Oryzias latipes: one gene and its partner. The protein of the gene in region 1 purifies or fractionates together with the protein of each later gene. This does not show direct contact. Links are inferred from orthologs where the notes say so. Each region holds a gene or a part of one and is shown on either strand. Other genes may lie near its edges.

The links. The genes of interacting proteins can lie anywhere in the genome.
Region 2: the proteins of nfx1 (region 1) and larp1 purify together in Homo sapiens (affinity purification with mass spectrometry, with the first as the bait; 3 studies listed by BioGRID). This does not show direct contact. The link is inferred for Oryzias latipes from reciprocal best matches to the Homo sapiens genes NFX1 and LARP1.

Annotation. Positions count from the first base shown.
Region 1 is NC_019878.2:21,136,077-21,140,239, forward strand, and holds the start of nfx1 (transcriptional repressor NF-X1), read left to right. Parts: upstream 1-1,363; 5' UTR 1,364-1,431; intron 1,432-1,437; exon of another isoform or gene 1,438-1,566; 5' UTR 1,567-1,614; coding exon 1,615-1,633; intron 1,634-2,652; coding exon 2,653-3,501; intron 3,502-3,655; coding exon 3,656-3,817; intron 3,818-3,947; coding exon 3,948-4,025; intron 4,026-4,152; coding exon 4,153-4,163. UniProt on the Homo sapiens protein: Binds to the X-box motif of MHC class II genes and represses their expression. May play an important role in regulating the duration of an inflammatory response by limiting the period in which MHC class II molecules are induced by interferon-gamma.
Region 2 is NC_019872.2:3,472,917-3,476,416, reverse strand, and holds part of larp1 (la-related protein 1), read right to left. Parts: intron 3,470-3,500; coding exon 3,309-3,469; intron 3,141-3,308; coding exon 3,042-3,140; intron 2,671-3,041; coding exon 2,344-2,670; intron 1,771-2,343; coding exon 1,647-1,770; intron 780-1,646; coding exon 583-779; intron 495-582; coding exon 388-494; intron 1-387. UniProt on the Homo sapiens protein: RNA-binding protein that regulates the translation of specific target mRNA species downstream of the mTORC1 complex, in function of growth signals and nutrient availability.

The DNA.
Region 1 (4,163 bases):
CCTCTTGACTCCCTACACTTCTGCACGTTCATTGGCTTATATGCCTGGGTGTGTTTTATTGGGTTTTACCTGTTTAAGACCTTCTGTGCCATTCTGTGTTCATTTTCTTATTTTATATTGTTTTAACATTGTAAAGTGAAAAAAGTGCTCTATAAACAAAGATTTACTTACTTTAAAGATTTACTTTTTTTACTCAACTTTAAAACTTTTATTAAAGTCACTGTTCACTTTTCTTTACGAACTGCCACCTCCTTAGATACATGGAGAAGGATGCTGCACAAACAGACACATACAGAGGATGTTGCAGTCTCCCCCAATCCCTCTACATCATCAGGAAAGTCATCTTCTCTCTTTGCTCTCCAAAAACTGTAACCATGGAGCGCCACCTTGTGGAGATTGGTTTTCAACTTTTTGGCAAAAACAGGAAAAGCTGAATACTTAACAGTTCACAAAGTATGTAATAAATCCCACATTTATATGTTAATTGGGAATTTTTTTGTTTTATTTGGAAGGTTTTATCTCTGGAACTTCTAAAGTGTGATATAATGTCGAAAATATTCCTCTTGAAGGCCCCTCTTTTTGTCCTGAAAAGATGCTCATTACCAGATTTAGAGGTCAAGACATAATTCAAACTGATATTCAGTTCTCAAATCACAATTCAGTTTGTAATTTGATCATGCAGTTTGAAAAGGCATTTTACAGTTGACATTTCAATACGAAAATCAGGCTTGCAATTTGGAAAAATGCATTTTCGCATTGCGTGATCAAATTGCGAACTGAATTGTGATTTGAGAACTGAATATCAGTTGGAATATTGTGTGAAAAAATACTTTCCCTACGCTGGCTGAAATGTGACAGGCTTTCTTTAAAAGTGATTGTTGCTCCAGTCCCATTGGGATTCAGTGTAAGTAAAAGTTGACTGTTCATTTTTAAGGTAGTTATGCTAATAACTTGAGTAAAAAATGTCAAATTCGAGCAAAGATTTTTGCATTATAAAAAAACATTTTTATAAGGTTTAGAACTGTAGATGTTAATTGGCCTAAGGTTATAAATTGTCAACATTTATTTTTGGCATTGAACTAAGCTCAAATAACGTGGTAGAAGATAAAACAAAATCTCAAATGATATTTTTTATTTGCTTTTACTTTGAAAGGAGTTAACAACATGTAATACGGTGTTAAATACCTGCTGGTGACATCGTCATTCACTCCTCCTTCGCTTCTATTTATTTTTACCCTTTTATTTTTACATGTTAAAAAATATGTATATGAACCTTTTTTCATACAAATATGTTTTAAAAAAAATGTTATTTCATATTTTGTTCTTAAAACCTCGAATGGGAGTTTTATTTTAAAAATACAAACCGGAAGTTCCGGTCTGGGTAAAAAACCGTACGGCGTTAGCTAGCGTTTAGCTACAAATCGGTGGCAGGTGAGCTCACTTCATGAGTAAATTATTACTCATAGTAAAGAGGTTTTCTAACTACCTTATTAGTCATAGCACAGATTAAAACTGTGATAAATATATTAACTCTTTCGCTAAACTTGTCATCTCTTTTTAAAACAGCCTGCTGTCGCCAAGCGAAAGAAAGAAGAAGAAGTAGCAAGAGCCTGAATGGCTGAGGGCTCCTCAGGTGAGCGACCAGCCATAAAATCATTTCCAGATATCTTACAGCTGTCTTAAACCGTTCATAGAATTAAGTTAACTTTAAATAAGGGTCTATATGTAATTTTGTTTTAGCTTTTGAGCTAGTTGTGCTAACCGGCTAATATTAGCTAACAACAAAGTTTACTAGTTCGTGGACTAGATCATTTGTTGGTGATTTTTCTGGTTTTATAATTTATACGTCTGTCAACCAGAGACAAAGTTACGTAACATCATCATGTGAACTTAGAACATTATTCTGTTGACCTGTGACAGGAGCTAAAGAACATGTCACTCCTTTAGCTTTATATTTAGGGACTTTAAACTTTTGTTAACCAGGTTTTTCACACGTTAGTGTCTGATTCTGGTTTATTTGTTTTGATATTCAATGTTCCAAATCTTTATTTAAAACAACAACGTTTCCATTCTGGGTTGAGGATTCATCCGAATCCGTTAGTTTTCCTGATTAACTTTTACAAAAGTAAAAGTACTCTACAGTGATGGCATACTTTATACTATTACTTGGATATATTTATGTTTAGGGGAAAATTAGTGTATTTAAAAAAATAAAAAAGAATTCTTTTTTTTTTTTTGCATGAAATGTAGTATTTATTGTAAACATCATTAAAAGTCATATTGTTACAAAGAAGTCCTTCTATCCAGTATCTTAGCAAATGGACAGATTTTACGGTTACAGCCGAGCTTATGCAGTGTATTCATAAAAAACTCAACACGCATGTCAGTATAAAACCTCTTTTTTTGTTTTGTTTTTTTTGTTGCTTTTATTGAAATTTGTTTTTCTTTATGCTCCAAACTGGATGAAAGATTGTGAGAGATACAGTATATATAGTTATAGAAAAATTGAGGGACAGAAAACAAAAAAAGGACGACATTCATAAATTTCATAAATCCACAACAGTATTTTAATTTTTTTAAATACATTTTAGGCTTTGATATATATAGTCAGTTATCGCTGTGGGCTCAAATGGTCATATTTTCGATTTGCAGACCCACAAAATTTCAACCAAGATGGGTCGTCCCTTCAGAAAACGCACCAGCAAAGATCCAGAAGAGGCCGCCCTCGAAACAATGGTAGAAATCTGAGCTGTAATTATGAAGAAACATCCCAACACTTTGGACACTTTTTTGAAGGGTTTGAACATAACTCTAATTATGTTGAAGCCCACAATCCTCCATTTCGAGGGGAGGATACAGCTCAAAGGAGAGGCAGAGGTCGAGGAAGGAGAGAAGGAGACAGAGGTTTGAATGGAAATCCGGATGCCTCTGGTTCATGGTGGCAAAGATCTGGTCATGAGTTTGGACAGCATGGTTCAGGCAGCAGGTATGCAGGTAGCCATCAGTCTGGTGCACATCCTATGGATGGATCTGATGGATCCAACAGGCGGGGTGTTAACAGAAATTTGGAGAAAGGCTATGAACAGTGGGATTCTCATTTTAAAAAGAACAGAAATGTTGAGCAGAGGAGAGCAGAGCAGAGGGAGAGAGGCGATCATTTTAAAGCAGCTGATCAAAGGCACGGCACCAAAGGAGAAACCACTGAAAGGACTCAGGAGAGCAAGTCGGGCCCTAAACGTCACTATCATGAGACCCAGAAAAAAGAGGTTGAAGTTAAACGGCGCCAAGGACCAATCAAACCCCCCAAACCCCCAAGTCAAGAAATAGATGGCCGTGAGAGGGGGGCCAATGCTCGGCTCGACTCCGATCAGAGCCGACCTGCTCAGGATTCAAGGGGTCCACCTCCTCCGGCCAAAGGGGGTAAAAGATTTAACCAACGAAGCCACAAGCCAGGCCGGCAGAGCTGGGAGCAGGTGCCAAAGAGCAAAGAGACTCAGACTGGTGAGATTGCAGCTTTTGTGGTTGTTTGGTCTTAAATTCGATCAAAGTTGTGCCCGGGTGGATCCACTCTTGAGAACGTTTTTCATTGGTTTAAAAAATCTGCTGGTCTGAGCCGCTGGAGTCTCCTGACCCCGATGCTCTGGTTCCTCCACAGGCTGCCTGATTGAACAGCTGACAGAGGAGAACTACGAGTGCATGGTGTGCTGTGACGTCATCAGGGTCATGGCCCCGGTGTGGAGCTGCCAGAGCTGCTTCCACGTCTTCCACCTGAACTGTATCAAGAAATGGGCTCGATCCCCGGCCTCACAGGCGGACGGTATGACCGTTACCCATGTGTGCTCTTAGTCTGCGGGGTCAACTGTCAACATTTATTTCTTTTCACTTTTTTAAGTGCAAAACATTTTGTTTCATGGTTAAAAATGCTTGTTGGAATTGATGGCTTTCAGATTCGACTGAAGGCTGGCGCTGTCCAGCCTGCCAGAACGTAGCACTGAAAAGCCCTGCGTCCTACACCTGCTTCTGTGGTGAGTGTTAGTTTCATTTATGCAAATGAAAACTCTTCTGGCAGCCCATTATTCAAAAACGCTCGTTTGAGCATCTGAGCCTCAGAGCGAAAAGCAATTGAAAGTGATTTTGTTGTTGTTTTGGCAGGTAAAGTGACA
Region 2 (3,500 bases), on another chromosome or scaffold:
CCAGAATGACGAAACACCAAGCTTCCCATGATGCATTTCTTCAACGATCCATTTCCTTCTACAGAGCTTTGGTCCGTTTTCAACACAACATTCTACACAAAAACCACCACATGTTGAGTGTCCTGACCAAGTCATGTGACTGGAATAACCAGGAATAGAATCCTTTGTGAACACACCGTTCCCTCATTTAGTCTGTTTTAAGGCTGTAGAAGCCGCCGCTACACGCTTGACGGGCTCTTCTCAGACAGAAAAACGTTTTCACAATTTTCTCTCTTGTTTAAACCTTTATAGAAAAATAAGTCCAGCATAATTGAACGAAAAAAAAGATCTGCTGGTGGATAGAAAGACTCAGCAGTCCCATACCATGATGCTTCCTCTGCAACTCACCTGACAGAGGCGGTGCGGGACCGGTGCTCTCTGGAGTCCATCACCCAGCCCACGTGGCACTCCATGGGGGGGTTGGAGCTGTGCCTGGTCTTCCTCTTCCTGGGAGTCTGGAAGAGGAAGACTCTGAAGCGTGAGTGAAGGAGTTCCCCTCGGGAAACCTCCTCACATCAACCCCACCTGCCCCCGCCGTCTCACCTTGGCGTCGACAGGCCGGCTCTCCTTCACCACCGGGTAGAAGCGAGGCGTCATGGTGGGGTCCTTACGATGCGGCGTGCGAGGAGTCCGCGGCGTCCGGTAGTTTGGCGAGTCAGGCACGGTTGTGGGTAGCGAGCGGGCCATTGAGGAGGGTTCAGGGGCGCCGAAAAGTTTGTTTGCCAAAGCATCTGTGGGGACTGAAACACGACGAGACGCTAAAGAAGTGAGCTTTAAACTGCAGAGAGAAGAACGACACGCCGCCGATGAGGAGGAGCACTCTGATAAATGTGACCCCATTTCAAAAACTACTCTTTAATCATTTTGAAAGCTGAAGTAGAGTAAATGACAGCTTTAATTTTTGTTCCTGGGAATCAGAAAGTGAAACTATGAACTTTATTTGTGTCATTTAAGCGTTTATGTCAATGAATGACTGAAAAACAAGAGGCTGCACACCGTCAAAGTCCCACTCCAGTCATGATTTGATCTATTTTCAAAGCGTTCCCAGTGGTTTTATAATTATGATTAACCTGTTTTTAGCCAAAATTAAATACGCAAAGACGTTTTCTAGGACATAGTTTCTGCAGAGCAACAGATTCAAGCGGAGACGAGAAAAAACAAAGACTTACATTGGTTTACAAGTGGAAGCATCAGAATTTAAGCTTCAGGGAGAACACTTCCTTACCCATAAAGACATAACATTTAGATTAAATAAAGACATTAACATTTGTCCTCCATCATCGGAAAGATGCCATCAGAACATGTTAAAACTACAAAAACATGATTAGTTTTGAGTTCGACTTGAATCTGTTTTTAGAAAATGCAATATTTACATAATAATATATTAACAAAGTTAGTAGTTTCAGGTTTCTGTGTCGAAATCTTGTCACTTTTTTTTGATTTTTTTCTAACTGCTTTGCACCTCAATCTGTTTTTAAAAAAAGATTAAAAACCTAAATTTCTCCTAAATAAAAAAAAAAGGAGAAACTATTGTCCTGGTCAAAACAGATTTTAGTTTAAAGCTTTTAGTAAAACATAATCTGCTGATTTTGTCTGGGTTTGCTTACTCTGCTGGGGGCGCGGGGGTCCGGGGGGGACTTCCTGGTTGGGGTCGACGGGGGGTTCTGGGGTCAGGCAGTCGAACTGCTCCCGGCTGATCAGGTGGACCTTCTTGAAGTTCTCCACCTCTTGCTGGAAGCAAAGAAAAGACAGAAACCCGCAGCGTGAGTAGAGGGAGCGGAGGAAGCGACCGGCAGCGGCGGAAGGGGAATCTCCGTCGGCGGACCTCATCCGCAGAAGTTTGGAGACAGACAGGCAGCAGCAGAACATGGCGGCCTTAAAGAAGCGTTTCACCCTCATATCGCCACAAACAGCAGCTCCACACAAACCCGTCTGTCCTGAGAGCAGCAGCTCCACTCACACTCATACTCGGCCTCTCTTTCCAGAGACTCTCCAGGGATCGGTCCGCGGCCATCTTTGCCTCCCCCCTGGCACCCCGCCGTTTGGGGTCTATTTATAAACGAGCGGCGTGTGTTCCACAGGCTGCTGGATGTGTGTTGGCGAGCGCGTGAAGGTCCCACACAGAGCCCAACAATGCAACAATGGGCGGCAGCGGCAACAAAAAAGCGGACAAAAAGGCAGCTTCTGTGCTCTGCTTTGGGTCCGGATCCAGAAAAAGCTGCAACTGAAGGAGAGCCACCGCTGGAAGGCCTCCATGCATGACTCTGCTCTTTTTCCCTTTTCACCACCATAAAGCCGCCTCACCTTGATGGTGGCGTACTCCGGCTCATAGGGGGCGTCCCACAGGTCCTGCTCGTAGTAGAAGAGCCCGTCGTTGATGACCTTGACCAGCTCGTTGGTCAGCTTGGCGCGCGACGTGTGGTGTCCGGTGCGGTCGCCGCCTGGGTGCTTCCGCAGGTAGGGCGGCGTCTGCGTGACGATCAGGATCTTGTTGACGTCCTGGTCATCCAGCTCGCCGTCCGTCTCTTCGTCTGACCAGTCGGTGAAGGTGTTGCGGCGTCCGTCCATCTGCTCCATCTCTTCGTCGAACATGAAGTCCAGCTCCTCTGGTTCGTCCTGCTCGGCTCCGTCCTGACCCCACAAACAAACACGATACTCAGTTACTTTCATTCATCAACAGACTGTCAGGATTTTCAAACTCTTTGTAAACTATTTTAAAAACTGCTAAAAACTGTCTAACTTCAGGATGAAATCCCAGCTTTAAAACTAAACTCTATAATCAGGTAATTCCATCAAGTCACCACCAGGTGGCTTGTTTCACAAATATAGTTTATTCTGTAATAATGTTTTGAAGCCCTATTTTAAATTTGACCTTTAAAAAACACACGTGTCCACGGAGGGGCGTGGCCTGTTGATGGACATGTGACCATTAAACCTACAGCTCTAAACAGAACCAGAACTGGTCCAAAACCCCTGCAGATCCGTGCAGGTGAGCGGCTCACCTTGTTTCCTGAGGTAGTGCGGGACGGCGAGGAGCCGGGCGGGGGAACCGGGGATCGAACCACTTCGTCTTTTTCCTTCTGCTGCTGCACCGAAGGGGCCTGCTTCCATCACAAAAAGAGGAGGGAGAGGAGATGAAGAGGAATGGTGAGAGCAGATTCTGTCAACACCTGACTGGATGGATGGATGTGGTTTGGTTCTGAGATCAATCTGTGGAGCTGTAGCTTTAACTCTGAGCTCCGTGTGAAGACGTGACGTTCTGAGCTGACCTTGGGTCTGGCGGGAGACGGTCGGGGCCTCTTCTTCACCTCGATCCAGGACTCAGAGTCCAGGTCAGGGAGGCTGGCAGAGAGGCCCTTGGGCATGGATTTGAGGTTGGAGGTGTCTGGGTCAGGCTTGGCCCGCACTGGAGAGGATCCTCTGGAGGAGCCTGCAGCAGAAACCCTCAGGTTAACAGCCGT